Saccharomyces cerevisiae S288C: one gene and its partners. The protein of the gene in region 1 binds, or shares a complex with, the protein of each later gene. Each region holds a gene or a part of one and is shown on either strand. Other genes may lie near its edges. A codon is read from its position in the direction of its gene.

The links.
Region 2: the proteins of SKP1 (region 1) and CEP3 are in contact, whole or in part, in a cryo-EM structure (PDB 6GYU), measured with the Saccharomyces cerevisiae proteins. Residues at the interface, in NP_010615.3 of Saccharomyces cerevisiae: Leu27 (codon at 1,863), Leu28 (codon at 1,866), Lys30 (codon at 1,872), Asn31 (codon at 1,875), Tyr32 (codon at 1,878), Asn34 (codon at 1,884), Asp35 (codon at 1,887), Met77 (codon at 2,013), Pro80 (codon at 2,022), Asn81 (codon at 2,025), Asp104 (codon at 2,094), Glu105 (codon at 2,097), Asp106 (codon at 2,100), Leu136 (codon at 2,190), Asn139 (codon at 2,199), Tyr140 (codon at 2,202), Asn142 (codon at 2,208), Asn171 (codon at 2,295), Ile172 (codon at 2,298), Val173 (codon at 2,301), Asn174 (codon at 2,304), Asp175 (codon at 2,307), Phe176 (codon at 2,310), Thr177 (codon at 2,313); in NP_013891.1 of Saccharomyces cerevisiae: Lys11 (codon at 2,297), His12 (codon at 2,294), Ser45 (codon at 2,195), Thr46 (codon at 2,192), Lys47 (codon at 2,189), Arg374 (codon at 1,208), Arg375 (codon at 1,205), Asp378 (codon at 1,196), Gln381 (codon at 1,187), Tyr382 (codon at 1,184), Asp385 (codon at 1,175), Lys400 (codon at 1,130), Leu404 (codon at 1,118), Ala425 (codon at 1,055), Asp426 (codon at 1,052), Leu429 (codon at 1,043), Lys430 (codon at 1,040), His433 (codon at 1,031), Tyr434 (codon at 1,028), Val437 (codon at 1,019), Ser440 (codon at 1,010), Asn444 (codon at 998).
Region 3: the proteins of SKP1 (region 1) and CDC4 are in contact, whole or in part, in a crystal structure (PDB 3V7D), measured with the Saccharomyces cerevisiae proteins. Residues at the interface, in NP_010615.3 of Saccharomyces cerevisiae: Ser113 (codon at 2,121), Asp127 (codon at 2,163), Gln128 (codon at 2,166), Glu129 (codon at 2,169), Leu131 (codon at 2,175), Tyr132 (codon at 2,178), Ile135 (codon at 2,187), Leu136 (codon at 2,190), Asn139 (codon at 2,199), Lys144 (codon at 2,214), Leu147 (codon at 2,223), Asp148 (codon at 2,226), Cys151 (codon at 2,235), Lys152 (codon at 2,238), Val154 (codon at 2,244), Ala155 (codon at 2,247), Ile158 (codon at 2,256), Arg159 (codon at 2,259), Gly160 (codon at 2,262), Arg161 (codon at 2,265), Pro163 (codon at 2,271), Ile166 (codon at 2,280), Arg167 (codon at 2,283), Arg168 (codon at 2,286), Thr169 (codon at 2,289), Phe170 (codon at 2,292), Asn171 (codon at 2,295), Ile172 (codon at 2,298), Val173 (codon at 2,301), Asn174 (codon at 2,304); in NP_116585.1 of Saccharomyces cerevisiae: Asn269 (codon at 2,096), Leu270 (codon at 2,093), Lys271 (codon at 2,090), Arg272 (codon at 2,087), Asp273 (codon at 2,084), Leu274 (codon at 2,081), Ile275 (codon at 2,078), Ser277 (codon at 2,072), Leu278 (codon at 2,069), Pro279 (codon at 2,066), Ile282 (codon at 2,057), Lys285 (codon at 2,048), Ile286 (codon at 2,045), Tyr289 (codon at 2,036), Leu290 (codon at 2,033), Asp294 (codon at 2,021), Ile296 (codon at 2,015), Asn297 (codon at 2,012), Ser298 (codon at 2,009), Leu299 (codon at 2,006), Gly300 (codon at 2,003), Val301 (codon at 2,000), Ser302 (codon at 1,997), Gln303 (codon at 1,994), Asn304 (codon at 1,991), Trp305 (codon at 1,988), Asn306 (codon at 1,985), Arg310 (codon at 1,973), Arg352 (codon at 1,847), Leu353 (codon at 1,844).
Region 4: the proteins of SKP1 (region 1) and CTF13 are in contact, whole or in part, in a cryo-EM structure (PDB 6GYU), measured with the Saccharomyces cerevisiae proteins. Residues at the interface, in NP_010615.3 of Saccharomyces cerevisiae: Lys30 (codon at 1,872), Asn101 (codon at 2,085), Phe102 (codon at 2,088), Asp104 (codon at 2,094), Asp106 (codon at 2,100), Asp107 (codon at 2,103), Asp108 (codon at 2,106), Asp109 (codon at 2,109), Ser110 (codon at 2,112), Arg111 (codon at 2,115), Lys112 (codon at 2,118), Ser113 (codon at 2,121), Gln128 (codon at 2,166), Glu129 (codon at 2,169), Tyr132 (codon at 2,178), Ile135 (codon at 2,187), Leu136 (codon at 2,190), Asn139 (codon at 2,199), Lys144 (codon at 2,214), Leu147 (codon at 2,223), Asp148 (codon at 2,226), Cys151 (codon at 2,235), Lys152 (codon at 2,238), Val154 (codon at 2,244), Ala155 (codon at 2,247), Met157 (codon at 2,253), Ile158 (codon at 2,256), Arg159 (codon at 2,259), Gly160 (codon at 2,262), Arg161 (codon at 2,265); in NP_013812.1 of Saccharomyces cerevisiae: Ser3 (codon at 2,019), Phe4 (codon at 2,022), Pro6 (codon at 2,028), Val7 (codon at 2,031), Arg8 (codon at 2,034), Phe9 (codon at 2,037), Leu10 (codon at 2,040), Leu12 (codon at 2,046), Asp15 (codon at 2,055), Ile16 (codon at 2,058), Glu19 (codon at 2,067), Val20 (codon at 2,070), Tyr21 (codon at 2,073), Phe22 (codon at 2,076), His23 (codon at 2,079), Leu24 (codon at 2,082), Asp25 (codon at 2,085), Asn27 (codon at 2,091), Phe28 (codon at 2,094), Cys29 (codon at 2,097), Gly30 (codon at 2,100), Arg58 (codon at 2,184), Lys61 (codon at 2,193), Tyr65 (codon at 2,205), Met66 (codon at 2,208), Lys86 (codon at 2,268), Glu89 (codon at 2,277), Tyr90 (codon at 2,280), Phe92 (codon at 2,286), Trp93 (codon at 2,289).

The regions. Positions count from the first base shown.
Region 1 is NC_001136.10:1,124,874-1,127,802, reverse strand, and holds SKP1 (SCF ubiquitin ligase subunit SKP1), read left to right. Parts: upstream 1-1,784; coding exon 1,785-2,369; downstream 2,370-2,929. Other genes in the region: PEX3 (Pex3p), read left to right, coding at 208-1,533; YSP2 (Ysp2p), read left to right, coding at 2,878-2,929.
Region 2 is NC_001145.3:596,832-600,774, forward strand, and holds CEP3 (Cep3p), read right to left. Parts: upstream 2,328-3,943; coding exon 501-2,327; downstream 1-500. Other genes in the region: mismatch repair ATPase MLH1, read left to right, coding at 1-364; aldehyde dehydrogenase (NAD(+)) ALD3, read right to left, coding at 2,521-3,943. UniProt on the Saccharomyces cerevisiae protein: Acts as a component of the centromere DNA-binding protein complex CBF3, which is essential for chromosome segregation and movement of centromeres along microtubules. CBF3 is required for the recruitment of other kinetochore complexes to CEN DNA.
Region 3 is NC_001138.5:114,557-119,044, reverse strand, and holds CDC4 (SCF ubiquitin ligase complex subunit CDC4), read right to left. Parts: upstream 2,901-4,488; coding exon 561-2,900; downstream 1-560. Other genes in the region: WWM1 (Wwm1p), read left to right, coding at 3,302-3,937; AUA1 (Aua1p), read right to left, coding at 3,771-4,055. UniProt on the Saccharomyces cerevisiae protein: Substrate recognition component of a SCF (SKP1-CUL1-F-box protein) E3 ubiquitin-protein ligase complex which mediates the ubiquitination and subsequent proteasomal degradation of target proteins. Recognizes and binds to phosphorylated target proteins.
Region 4 is NC_001145.3:453,813-457,807, forward strand, and holds CTF13 (Ctf13p), read left to right. Parts: upstream 1-2,012; coding exon 2,013-3,449; downstream 3,450-3,995. Other genes in the region: snoRNA-binding rRNA-processing protein UTP15, read left to right, coding at 203-1,744; SNO1 (putative pyridoxal 5'-phosphate synthase), read right to left, coding at 3,473-3,995. UniProt on the Saccharomyces cerevisiae protein: Acts as a central component of the centromere DNA-binding protein complex CBF3, which is essential for chromosome segregation and movement of centromeres along microtubules. CBF3 is required for the recruitment of other kinetochore complexes to CEN DNA.

The DNA of each region.
Region 1 (2,929 bases):
AGCTAAGATGTCGTTAACAAGTAGTAGAGTTTGCGTGAATGTATGAATATTTCCCTTTTTCCTTAAAAATTCCTTGCATTTTGGTAATCGTGTGTAATGATAAGGGCGTTATTCGACTTATATGAGCATGGGGTATATTATTGAGGTAGTTAATACTAGTCATCGTAAAAGCAGAAGCACGAAACAAGGAGGCAAACCACTAAAAGGATGGCCCCAAATCAAAGATCACGTTCGCTTCTGCAGAGACATCGAGGAAAGGTACTCATTTCATTGACTGGAATAGCTGCTTTATTTACCACAGGGTCGGTGGTAGTGTTTTTCGTGAAGAGATGGTTGTATAAACAGCAGTTACGGATTACTGAGCAACACTTCATCAAAGAACAGATCAAAAGAAGGTTCGAGCAGACACAGGAAGACTCGTTGTACACAATATACGAGCTACTTCCTGTATGGAGAATGGTTTTGAATGAAAACGATTTGAATTTGGACAGCATCGTTACCCAATTAAAGGACCAAAAGAACCAGTTGACTAGAGCAAAGTCTAGTGAAAGCAGAGAAAGTTCGCCGTTAAAAAGTAAAGCTGAGTTGTGGAACGAGTTAGAACTAAAGAGTTTGATCAAGCTGGTGACAGTGACGTACACAGTATCGTCGCTGATTCTTTTAACAAGACTGCAACTAAATATCCTGACAAGAAACGAGTACCTGGACTCCGCAATAAAATTAACCATGCAGCAGGAAAACTGCAACAAACTACAGAATAGGTTCTATAACTGGGTTACATCGTGGTGGAGCGATCCGGAGGACAAAGCGGATGATGCAATGGTAATGGCAGCAAAAAAGTCAAAGAAAGAAGGCCAGGAAGTGTATATTAATGAGCAAGCTTTCCTATCACTATCATGGTGGATTCTTAACAAGGGGTGGTTGAGTTACAATGAAATAATTACAAATCAAATCGAAATTGAATTTGACGGCATACACCCAAGAGATACTCTAACGTTAGAAGAATTTAGTTCTCGTCTCACGAACATATTCCGGAACACGAATTCCCAAATATTCCAGCAAAATAATAATAACCTCACGTCTATTTTGCTTCCTAAAGATTCCAGTGGACAGGAGTTTCTTCTGTCACAGACGCTTGACGCGGATGCTTTAACAAGTTTTCACTCTAACACACTAGTTTTTAATCAATTGGTGAATGAACTGACCCAATGTATCGAAAGCACAGCAACATCCATAGTGTTAGAGTCTCTAATAAATGAATCATTCCATTTCATAATGAACAAGGTCGGCATAAAGACAATAGCCAAGAAAAAACCTGGCCAAGAAGATCAGCAACAGTATCAAATGGCAGTTTTCGCTATGTCGATGAAAGACTGTTGCCAAGAAATGCTTCAAACAACTGCCGGGTCTTCCCATAGCGGCAGCGTGAACGAATACCTGGCCACTCTGGATTCTGTGCAGCCGCTCGATGATCTGAGCGCCAGCGTATACAGCAACTTTGGCGTCTCCAGCTCGTTTTCCTTCAAGCCTTAATCTCTGAATAAGTACTGACACTCACACCAGAATATATATATATATAGCGTAATCTTTAATACAGTAAGTGTGCAATAGGTAACATGACATTACCCTGCAGCGATTTAACGGGCGTCTTGGAGAAAAGAAGAGAAAGGGAAGAAATAGGTTGATATATTGAGGGCAGAGAAAGTGATAGCCCAACGTTGGCAAAGATATAACAGAAAAGACGTTATAAACAATACAGGAATACTAACAAACGTAGCGCAGATATGGTGACTTCTAATGTTGTCCTAGTGAGTGGTGAGGGTGAACGATTCACCGTAGACAAGAAAATCGCGGAGAGATCCCTGCTATTGAAAAACTATCTGAACGATATGCATGACAGCAACCTACAAAACAACTCAGATTCAGAATCAGATTCAGACTCGGAAACGAACCACAAAAGCAAAGACAACAATAACGGTGACGACGACGATGAGGATGACGACGAGATTGTGATGCCCGTGCCCAATGTTCGGTCTTCCGTTTTGCAGAAGGTTATCGAATGGGCCGAGCACCACAGAGACTCTAACTTCCCTGACGAAGATGACGACGATTCCAGAAAGAGTGCTCCCGTGGACTCATGGGACAGAGAATTCCTGAAAGTGGACCAAGAGATGCTATACGAAATTATTCTGGCGGCAAACTACCTCAACATCAAGCCCTTGCTTGACGCTGGCTGCAAGGTGGTTGCTGAAATGATCAGGGGAAGGTCTCCCGAGGAAATTAGAAGAACGTTTAATATCGTCAACGACTTCACTCCAGAGGAGGAGGCTGCCATTAGGCGTGAAAATGAATGGGCTGAAGACCGTTAGCCTACATTTCCTCTGATGACTGTGATCCTTTCTTCCGATGATAATGCGCCATTTCAGAGCAAGATAGGCAAAAATAAGCAAACAAGGCTTGCTGTCATGCAATGTGTACGTTAGTCCACCATAACCAAGCATGTATGAATTATATATGTATACAGTTTACATAAACTTCAAACTACAATAAGATGTGTGGTCCATCGTCGTGTGTAGCGATAGGCGTCTTCTAAAAGCCGCAAAAGTGACAAGAAGAAAAAAGGAAAATTATTGAGTTATAAAAGCTATTGTTTACATGATGAGACGGGATAAATTTAGGACAGATAGCTGTAAACACTCCGTTTTGAATCATATTTGTGAAATATTTGGTCTAAATTTTAAGTCAAGTTTATTTTCTTCGAGCATTTCAACACCAGCTTAACCCTTTGCTTTAAATTATTCATCTAAAATAGGGTATATTGATTGCTAATCACATATAAATATATAGAAGCAGCAGCTGTACAGATATCCCTAACCAATGAGGGATGAAGCTACTCGCAAAAAAAGGTCATTTAGTGATGGTCATTTTT
Region 2 (3,943 bases), on another chromosome or scaffold:
AAAATCTCTACCACTACTTTTAAAAGGCTACATTCCATCTCTGGTCAAGTTACCATTTTTTATATATCGCCTGGGTAAAGAAGTTGATTGGGAGGATGAACAAGAGTGTCTAGATGGTATTTTAAGAGAGATTGCATTACTCTATATACCTGATATGGTTCCGAAAGTCGATACATCTGATGCATCGTTGTCAGAAGACGAAAAAGCCCAGTTTATAAATAGAAAGGAACACATATCCTCATTACTAGAACACGTTCTCTTCCCTTGTATCAAACGAAGGTTCCTGGCCCCTAGACACATTCTCAAGGATGTCGTGGAAATAGCCAACCTTCCAGATCTATACAAAGTTTTTGAGAGGTGTTAACTTTAAAACGTTTTGGCTGTAATACCAAAGTTTTTTGTTTATTTCCTGAGTGTGATTGTGTTTCATTTGAAAGTGTATGCCCTTTCCTTTAACGATTCATCCGCGAGATTTCAAAGGATATGAAATATGGTTGCAGTTAGGAAAGTATGTCAGAAATGTTATATTCGGATTGAAACTCTTCTACAATAGTTCTGAAGTCACTTGGTTCCGTATTGTTTTCGTCCTCTTCCTCAAGCAACGATTCTTGTCTAAGCTTATTCAACGGTACCAAAGACCCGAGTCCTTTTATGAGAGAAAACATTTCATCATTTTTCAACTCAATTATCTTAATATCATTTTGTAGTATTTTGAAAACAGGATGGTAAAACGAATCACCTGAATCTAGAAGCTGTACCTTGTCCCATAAAAGTTTTAATTTACTGAGCCTTTCGGTCAAGTAAACTAGTTTATCTAGTTTTGAACCGAATATTGTGGGCAGATTTGCAGTAAGTTCAGTTAGATCTACTAAAAGTTGTTTGACAGCAGCCGATTCCACAAAAATTTGGTAAAAGGAGATGAAAGAGACCACGCGCGTAATGGTTTGCATCACCATCGGATGTCTGTTGAAAAACTCACTTTTTGCATGGAAGTTATTAACAATAAGACTAATGATTACCTTAGAATAATGTATAACCTTTAGTAGTGAATCTGCGGTATCATAATAAATGAGATACATCTTAAACAATTTCCAGGAAACAGTAGATATTTGAAAAAGTGCAATAAATTTTTGAAATCTGCTGTTATTTGATCTAAAATCTTCTTCCAACGAATCTACTTTGTATTGAAAAATATCGAGCTCCCTCCTTATAGCATCCAATGTTTTTAAGGGAGGTTTAGAACTCTTGTTCAAGTATTGATCTAAATCTCTGTCTAATGAGATGATTTTCCAATACAAGACCTCTGTGCTGTTTTCTTCCCTGTAAACATCAACGTTAGGCAAATCCTGCAAATATGCTGCATGTTGTAATAGGGAGGATACTTCTGTATGAAGTGCAATTGGTTTGCGTGGCCCCGATTGAAGATAATCGCATCCACACAGGCGATAGAATATTCTTCCCAAGGTTACTTTAGCGATGCTTTCAACGGGGTCATCATTAAGTAAAGGTCTAAAGTCATCCACATGAAAATTTTTAAAGGTATGGATGCACTGTGTTAGGAGCGAATTTGCCAACAACGGTTCATCGTAGGGGAAAGTTGTAGTGGCTAAAATCAGATATGCTTGAACGAGCCTTATATCGGGATGCGCCATGAAATCACATTGTTTCAATTGGAATAATGAGCAGCGTGCAAAATTTTGGCACATGACTAATTGCATACCATCTTCCCAATTGAGCCTTTTGTTGCTACCCAAATATTCATGGAGAGGATATACTGAAAATATTTCTGCTAACTTCTCGACTGGCATATAATAAATGCACATGGTAAAGACAGACCATATTAGTGCGTCCCAGTATTTGCCGTCTACACTGTGATTCTTGTCTGCCCTTCTATCCCAGTACTGTTCCACCCTCAAATATAATTCACTGATATCTCCAATGGAACCAAAATACAAAGCACCTAAGTTTTCCATAGCAAAGTTCATCAATTGGAATGATTGGTCTTTTTGAAGATAATTCATCCAAAACATACATTCTTCAGTATCAGTATCCAAATTAGCTGGTGTTCTAGTAAGATCTCTTTGTTTTGTTTTGTACAGCCCAATATTCGTTATCCAATATTCATAATTTTGCCAGAATAACAATAGGTCAGGGAGATATTCCTTGGAAGATGAAGCCGTTATTAGTTTTGTTGATTTCATACATTCGGAGTCCTGTCCTCTCTTCCTGCAGTTTCCACACGGTATCATACGATCACATTTGACTTTTCGCCTCGTACACACGGAACAGGGATGCTTGGATTTCAGTTGAGTGGTACGGTTAAACATTATTATTAGGATGCAAACTCGTGTTCGTAACTTTTGTCATCACCTGCTCTCTGAAGGTTGGTTATAATATTTCATTCTCTTACGCTTAGCTTACATGGCTGCGCGCACTTCATTTAAAGCCGTAAAAAATAAAGATTTCATAGAATATGAAGCTTTGAATCTCATGTAAACATTTATATAACTATGTAACGAATTATTTATCCAATGAAAGATCCACATGGACTGATTTTATTTGTAAATAGTTATCAACGCCGGTGTCGCCTGATTCTCTACCAATACCACTCATCTTAAATCCGCCAAAAGGAACTTTAGCTTCTTCTTGATTGGTTTGATTGATCCAAACAGTTCCTGCTTTAATATCGCGAGCAAACATGTGCGCTTTCTTGACATCTTTGGTGAAGACCGCAGAGGCGAGCCCGTAGCAAGTATCATTAGCCAGCTTCAGAGCGTCATCATAATTTGTGAACTTGCTAACAACCACAACCGGGCCAAATATTTCATCACGCAGCAACTTAGATGTTTCTGGTACATCAGTGAAGATGGTTGGGGGAATGAAGTAGCCTTTAGCTCCACCAATAGGAAATTCAGAGGTCTGGAACATGTCCAACTTTTCCTCCTTTTTACCACGTTCTATGTAACTTTTGATGCGGTCATACTGTGTACTTGATATAACTGGACCAACGATGCATTTCTCATCAAACGGATCAAATTTTCCTGCAACATCCCACTCCTTCTTTGCAGTTTCTTTAAACTTTTCAACAAACTTGTCGTAGATCGAACTTTGAACATAAACTCTTGAGTTTGCAGTGCAGATCTGTCCCGAATTAAAAAAAATACCATTTGCTACCCATTCTATAGCCTTATCAAGGTCTGCATCTTCAAATACAAGAGCAGGAGACTTACCACCGCATTCTAGTGTGATATCCTTAAGGTTCGATTGGCCGGAAGCTTCCAATACTGAGCCGCCAACCTTAGTACTTCCCGTAAAAGATATTTTGTCGATATCCATGTGGGTTCCTAAAGCTTTCCCCACAACGGAACCATAACCAGGAATGACATTGACAACACCAGGTGGAAAACCTGCTTTTTTAATTAAAGTAGCAAAATAAAGTAGAGATAGAGAGGTATTTTCAGCAGGTTTGATGATAACCGTGTTACCGGCCGCTAAGGCACCTTGCATTTTTCTACAAGCCATAGCTAGAGGATAATTCCATGGAACGATTTGAGCAACAACGCCAAAAGGAACTTTTAGAGTATATGCAAACTTGTTAAAAGTCAATGGAATGGTTTCACCCATATTGAACTTGTCGACCGCCCCCGCATAGTATCTTGTAAGTTCTATAATCTGGGCTAAGTCTTGTTTAGCATTGGAATGGAAAGGCTTACCAGCGTCTAAAGTCTCTAATGCGGCAAGTGTGTCTTGCTCCTCCTCAATAAGTTTTAATAAGTTTGAAAGATAAATACCACGTTGCTCAGAAGATGTCTTCGACCAAACGTTATCAAAAGCAGCCCTGGCAGCTTTCACAGCTTTGTCTACATCCTTTTCGTTAGCTGCTTGGAAGGATGTTATCGGTTCGCCAGTAGCTGGGTTCACAGTTTCGATGGTCTTTCCATCT
Region 3 (4,488 bases), on another chromosome or scaffold:
GGGAGGTTGAGCGTAGAACTTCCTAATTCTCAAGAGAATATCGATCTTTTTGAAAAACTGAAAACGGAACAGATGTTTCAAAACATAACGCTTGATAACTTGAAAAAAATCAGCAGAATCAACTTCTTAACGTTAAAAGTTCAAGAAAACTCTTGGGCCAAGAACCATCAGGAATATATTATTTAAAAAATGGTTGCTACTTTCAAGAGCATCGATTTCTTATTTGGCGCGTAAAGAAATTTTAGTCACTTCGGTTATTACGCATTTTTCCAGCTTTTATTTCTTTGATTGCTTTTATATTTTTTTAGATCATTTTCAAAACTTTCTTAAACCCTTCTCAACTAAAAACTTGTACTTTCCATATTTTCAGGGAAGAAACATTAATTAATAAACGGCACCCTTTTTGTAAACACAATTAAAATTGAACATACAAGCAGTTTAGCTGCAGTTTATATTCAATAAAATGTACGAAGTTGTTATTGTACTTTTTTACTGATTATATAACTACTTATTAAGCTATATTATCTAAGTATGAGTCAATGCTTATTCTCTGGGAAAGGTCATGGTATTATAGTTGTCCTCGTTAGACCCAAAGAAGTAGAAATGGATTCCAAAGACGACGACGAGGAGTTTACGGGATTGCTAACGTAGTTAATTTTTGAAGCTTTGCTGAAATCCAGAATTTCTAAAAAGCTCTGTCCATCTTTTTCAACTGCTGCAACAAGTGTTTTGCCCTTAAAATTAACCGACCAAATCTGATCAGCATCTTTTAGAATATTTGCGTGGACCAATTTCCCACTCCGTAGATTATAGATGTTGAACTGATTTTCCGATCCACTCACCAAAATATTATCCGATACATAAAATGTGGTAATTGCACTCAAATTGGTATGATGGTAGGAAAATTTTCTAGAGTAGTCGTTTGCGTCCCAACCCCTTATTGAACCGTCTGCAGCGGCACTGACCAAAAATTTGTCGGATAATCTTAATAAACCGACCAAAGCTGTATGACCCTGCAAAGTGTACATAGCACCAAGTATTTTGGCGCATGGCGATGCTGAATTTGTTGCGTAGGAACATTCTCCATTATTCCATATATTTTCCAAATCCCAAATTCTAATAGTGGTATCCATACTGGCAGAGATGCACCTTTTTCTTTCATGATCGTAGATTGTCGAATAAATACGATCCGTATGTCCACTTAAAATATACAAACATTTCATTTGCGCAACATCCCACACAATCAGTGTATTATCATAGGAGCCACTAACGACAATATTACCGTGGCCTGAGACAGTTCTTACAGATGCCATATGTCCTCTTAAAACACCAACAAAATATGGGTTCTCCTCAGGGGTATGAAAGACTAATGGATAATCATGTTCTTCCCCATGATCAGGAACGGAGGACTCCTTGGGCAATTTCCAAACGTGCAAAGTGTTATCTCTCGAACCAGTAACAATGTACTTGATATTTTTATATTCTACTATATCTAGGCACCTCACCGTAGAGTTATGACCTTTAAACACATGGGTACAACAACCTTTCTTAATATCCCAAACTCGCACCGTTCTGTCTGTAGAACCGCTGACTAAAATACCGCCATGGGCATACTTCAATGCCCAAACCCCACCATCATGACCTGATAGTTGTAGAAGAAATTTCTTGTTTATCGAATCATAAACTCTGATCATTTTGTCATCAGCCCCCGTAATGACATAATTATCTTCAAATTGCAAGCACGTAATAACACTCGTCATATGGCCTCTTAACGTGGTCCTTTGTGGTACAAACTTGGGATTGTACCAATTTTTTAAAATGAATATATTCTCCAGAAAAGATAATCTAAGGCGATCTTGTTGTGAGAGTTTTGGGTATTTTTGGGAGAGTTTGAGATTGAGAGAATTAAAACCCTTTGGGCTCACAAAATTTTCCGATATCAGAAGTTTTTTCCACAACGATGTAGATTTTCTAATTATTTTGTTCCAATTTTGGGAGACCCCAAGGGAATTTATAATATCCTCGAATTGCAAATAATTGAAAATTTTCAAACTTATTTCAAAAGGCAAAGACGTTATTAGGTCCCTCTTTAAATTATCCTTGATTAAAGTCCCCAAGTCGGATAGTTCACTCCTATCCATGTTGGCAACTAATCTAAATAATAAATTTTTGAAGTATGCGTGAGGGAGATTATTGTTTATTGCGCTGAAAATCTCATCAGAAAGGTATTCAGGGGAGATTATAGAATCTTTGGATTCTATCAAATCGGCGATATTATTATTGTTGTTGATAGTTTTCGTAGTTTTAGCTAAAGGAGTTGTGGTACCTGGAGAGGAAGCAGTGGGTGATAACGGCAGCGCTCCTTCCTCCATAGGATTGTTAATAGTAGCACTATTAACATTGTTACTAACATCACTGCCAGTTATTGTTGCCGCATTGACGGTAGTGGGAGCAGCAACATTATGAGATGCCACTCCCATGTTTACACTCAATGTAGAAGGTGCGGCAGAACCATCATCCACAGACATCAAAAGTTTTTCTGCATCGTTGGATATATCTGTTAAATTGTGCAGACCGTCATTATCCACAGACGCTGCACCGGTGTTCTGTAAGTTAACTGGATGGAGGGTTTTGTGATTATCATGTTTTACCCTTTTGAAATCACTGCGTTCAGGAGTGGATTCGCCAGAACCAGCTGCTCTTTTCCTCTGATACTCATCGATATCTTCTTCGCCGTCTTCTGTCTCAACTGTCTTAGCCGTGGACGAGTTTCGATGAGTGCCAGCGGCAGTAACAAGCGCAGTAACACTACCTGAGGAAGCTATACCGCCAGACACACGGTAGCTATAAGGAACAGGGATATCACGTAATGGAAACTCAGCTAAGGGAAACGACCCCATCGTACAGCGTAATTTTTGCCTTTCTTTGATTCTTTATGCGTAATTTTCTTCGAACCGCAACAAGTTGAATGAGGAGAAGAAGAAGAGAATACTGTAAATAAACGTTTTTTTCCCAAAAAAGACACTATATTTTAAGCACACAGAAAAAGACACGCTTTGTTGAGCAATCTATATTCATATAACAGTGGTAATAGCCTTTCTCTCACAAGATATACAAGCGCTGTGACGTTTTAACGTATTCAGTATTATTTCAACAGGCTTTTTTGTTTCGTCCACCTGACCGAGCCGGCAGCTGGAAGAAAAAGTTTACTTTAGTCATGATAATCAAAAGACTCTTTCTGAATTGCTTTTATCACTCACTACAAGAGAGTCGATAAAAAAACCCAAAACATTTTAAAGTAATGGCTCAAAGTAAAAGTAATCCTCCTCAAGTGCCTTCTGGCTGGAAGGCTGTTTTTGATGATGAATACCAGACTTGGTATTATGTAGATTTATCTACGAACAGCTCTCAGTGGGAACCACCAAGGGGAACAACATGGCCAAGACCCAAAGGTCCTCCACCAGGTGTTAACAATGAGAAGAGTTCTCGTCAACAGGCAGACCAGGCTCCTCCACCTTATTCTTCTCAATCAACACCGCAAGTGCAAGCAGGGGCCCAAGCACAGCAACCTCGTTACTATCAGCCTCAACAGCCTCAGTACCCTCAATACCCTCAACAGCAGCGTTACTATCCTCAACAAGCCCCTATGCCAGCAGCAGCACCACAGCAAGCATACTATGGAACTGCGCCAAGCACCAGTAAAGGTAGTGGACACGGCGGTGCCATGATGGGTGGTTTACTTGGTGTTGGTGCGGGTTTGTTAGGTGGAGCTATGCTAGAACACGCATTTGACGACCACAACTATGACGGACCAGACACTGTCGTTGTCGAGAACAATTACTACGGTGATGATGCTGGTGGGTCCGACGGCGGATTTGATGATGCTGGTGGGTTCGACGGCGGATTTGATGATGGATTTGACGGTAGTGACTTTTAATGTTATCAAGACTTTTTGGACAAGGACGATAAAATGATATAAGCTCATCAAATCTATATTGCTTGCTGCCATCTAAATATGGATACATACAGATATATACTTGCAAAGATCGGTCCATTATACTACATAGAAAGCAATTAAAAGATAAAAAAACCCATCATGATATTCTACGCTTTTTTACTTAGCCATGTTGTTGAATGTAGCTTCAATTACTTCTGTCTGTCTAATTTATTGCTACTTTTTCACTTCTAAGTGAACCATCACAACACATATAGCATAGTCGAGAAAAAAATCAATAGCTATTACTAGATGATAGATACCGTATATGCCACCTACAGCTTACTAGAGAGCTTCCGGAATGATAGTATCATTTATCAAACTACCGGTATGGTTGTGTATTGACTGCGCCTCTCAATCTATGAAGCAGCACCACGCCTTATCGTGGCTATGCGCGATATGACCGAGCTTTACAACATACTTTTCAATAAGCCGTTCTTTGAATAATGGACCCTTTCCTATAACCTAGTGCGCGTTTAAGGTGTTTTGTTCCA
Region 4 (3,995 bases), on another chromosome or scaffold:
CCCCAAGTAAGCATAATATTTAACGTTCTGTGACCTACATACCTCGTAATTAGTGATAATTATCTTTTGAAAATTTTTGGAATAACTGAAAAATTTTGAAAACTTTCGAGCTTTGAAGAAAAAACGATGCCCATCACTAATAGAAGTCCCTTGAAACAGTTTTTGCTAAGAACAGGCCTAAGGATCATAATATAGAAATAAAATGTCGACTGCTAGGCCTAGAATAATCACTTCGAAGGCTCCATTATTGCCTCAACAGACTACCCCGGAGCAGCGTTACTGGCGTCAATACACTTCCGCACAACTGGTTAAAGAACATAATAGCGTTACTCACATATCATTCAATCCTCAACATCCTCATGATTTTGCAGTAACTTCCTCAACCAGAGTTCAAATATTTTCTTCAAGAACTAGGCAAGTGATCAAGACCTTTTCAAGATTTAAAGATGTTGTCTATTCTGCATCCTTTAGGAGTGATGGTAAATTGCTTTGTGCCGGTGATGCTACCGGTTTAGTGTCTGTATACGACAGTTATAATCCCAGGACTATCCTTTTATCTATAAACGCTTCCACACATCCCACACATGTTACGAAATTCCATACGCAAGATAACAAAATTCTGGCTACGGCGAGTGACGATAGAGTGACAAGACTTTGGGATATATCCAACGCATATGAGCCACAATTAGAGCTCACCGGAGCTACTGACTATGTTCGTACCTTATCATTTATCCCAGCAGCCCCACATTTGGTTGCAACAGGCTCATACGACGGTTTGATCAGATTATATGACACAAGATCTAGCGGATCCACGCCAATTTATTCTCTGAATCATGACCAACCTGTTGAAAATGTTATTGCAGTATCTCCAACCCAAATTGTTTCTTGCGGTGGCAATAATTTCAAAGTGTGGGACTTGACCAGTAACAAGAAATTATACGAACGTGGCAATTTCAATAAGGCTGTGACATGCTTGGACTATGTTGAAAATTTTGATTCTCCAATGCAATCGGCGTTGATCGCTTCTTCCTTAGATGGTCATGTCAAAGTCTTTGATCCTTTAGACAATTTCCAAGTCAAATTTGGCTGGAAATTTTCGGGTCCCGTACTAAGTTGTGCTGTCTCCCCTAGTACCGCACAAGGGAATAGGCATTTAGTAGCAGGTTTATCATCAGGACTACTAGCCATTAGAACTAAAAAGAAAGAGAAACGTTCTTCCGATAAAGAAAACGCACCCGCCAGTTTTAATAAGAATGCGAAAAGTAATAACTTCCAGAGAATGATGCGAGGCTCGGAATACCAAGGTGATCAAGAGCATATAATCCACAATGATAAGGTAAGATCTCAACGTCGTATGCGTGCATTCGAAAGGAACATAAATCAGTTTAAATGGAGCGAAGCACTCGACAATGCCTTTGTACCAGGTATGGCCAAAGAGTTGACACTTACTGTTCTTCAAGAACTACGCAAACGTGGCAAAGTTCGTGTAGCGCTATATGGTAGAGATGAATCTACATTAGAGCCGCTACTGAATTGGTGCTTAAAAGGTATTGAAGATGTGAGATCAGCATCTATTGTAGCGGATTGGGTCGCCGTGGTTTTAGAATTATATGGGAATACGTTAGAAAGCTCTCCAGTTCTTCAAGAATTGATGATAGATTTGAAAACTAAAGTTAGACATGAAATTCATAAGTCTAAAGAAGCTCAAAGAATTGAAGGTATGCTTCAACTTTTAACGAGTTAAGGAAATATTAGCATATAGATTTTAATTTGTATCTATTTTATAGATATTCAGGCATACATATATATCTCTTTCTCATTGTAATCGAAAAAAATAATATCTTCTCTTTTTATTGAAAAAAGGAACCTGTATAAATTTCATTTTAGAGTGCTTTGCATTTTGATACGTTTTCGCGTTTAACTACCTTCGAGGGCTTGAAAACAAAACATTGTGAGATGAGATGCTATCAACAGAAAGCTGACTGTGAGTCCCCAGAAGTCCATGTCGCTTGATGCCTTCTTTCAATCCTGTTAGATTCTTAGAGTTACCAATTGACATTAGAAAAGAAGTTTACTTCCATTTAGATGGTAATTTTTGCGGAGCACATCCCTACCCAATAGATATATTATACAAATCTAATGATGTGGAGCTTCCAGGAAAACCAAGTTATAAAAGGTCTAAGAGATCTAAGAAATTATTGAGATACATGTATCCTGTTTTTGCCACGTATTTGAACATTTTCGAATACTCTCCGCAACTCATTGAAAAATGGCTTGAGTATGCATTTTGGTTGCGCTATGATTGCCTGGTTTTGGACTGTTTCAAAGTAAACCATCTTTATGACGGAACGCTTATAGATGCATTAGAATGGACGTACCTTGATAATGAACTTCGACTGGCCTACTTCAATAAGGCCAGTATGTTAGAAGTTTGGTATACTTTTAAAGAGTACAAGAAGTGGGTGATAGACAGTGTTGCTTTTGACGAGCTTGACTTACTTAATGTAAGTAATATTCAATTCAACATTGATAATCTAACTCCACAACTAGTAGACAAATGCTTATCAATTTTAGAACAGAAAGATTTATTCGCAACAATCGGGGAGGTACAATTTGGACAAGATGAAGAAGTAGGAGAAGAGAAAGATGTTGATGTTAGTGGAGCTAATTCTGACGAAAACTCCTCACCTAGCTCCACAATTAAAAACAAGAAAAGGTCAGCATCCAAAAGATCACATTCAGATAATGGCAATGTGGGAGCAACGCACAACCAACTAACAAGTATTTCTGTTATAAGAACAATAAGAAGTATGGAATCCATGAAGAGCCTGCGGAAGATCACTGTGAGAGGAGAGAAATTATATGAGTTGCTAATAAATTTTCATGGGTTCAGAGACAATCCTGGTAAAACGATTAGTTACATAGTGAAACGTAGGATAAATGAAATACGCCTATCACGCATGAATCAAATTTCCAGAACCGGACTAGCTGACTTTACAAGATGGGACAACTTGCAAAAGCTTGTATTAAGTAGAGTAGCTTACATCGACCTGAATAGCATTGTCTTTCCCAAAAATTTTAAATCTCTGACAATGAAACGTGTAAGTAAAATCAAGTGGTGGAACATCGAGGAAAATATACTAAAGGAACTAAAAGTCGATAAGAGAACTTTTAAATCGTTGTACATAAAGGAAGATGATAGTAAATTCACAAAATTTTTTAATTTACGACACACAAGAATAAAAGAGCTTGACAAAAGTGAAATTAATCAAATAACATACCTTCGATGTCAAGCAATAGTTTGGCTATCTTTTCGGACTTTGAACCATATCAAGCTACAAAATGTATCTGAAGTTTTTAACAATATCATCGTACCTAGAGCATTGTTCGATAGTAAACGAGTAGAGATTTATCGATGTGAAAAAATCTCTCAGGTTTTGGTAATATAAAAATGTGGAAAACCGGCGGTATTTTAATTAGAAACAAACTGTCTGATAAACCAATCATGAAATCTTGTATCACTGTCAGCAAGCTCTGGATGAAAAGAAGTCACAAGGATATTATGATTTTGCGTTGCAGCTACAACCACATCCTTTCCATTCACTGGCAATTCATATAAACTTTTAACCGCGATAGGATCAAGAATTCTCTCGATCACGGGTGCGCGAATAAATGTAGCAGGAAAATTATCACAGCCAGGTATGAAATTGGAAAAATCACACTTTTGTGTAAAAGATTGAGCTTGTCTTCCAAATGCGTTTCTTCTCACGTCGACCTTCAACACACCTAAAGTCTTTACTAGGGCACTTTCGTTTTCTAATTGCGCGCTTAAAAAGATGAGACCAGCACAAGTACCCCAAACTACCTTTTCCGGATTATGAACAAATTCGTATAAACAAGGATATAAGCCTGTTCTTTGAGCGATGAGGGACATCGACGTAGATTCTCCTCCGGGAATAATTAAGGCGTCGCACTGGGCTAGATCCTCAGGAGTT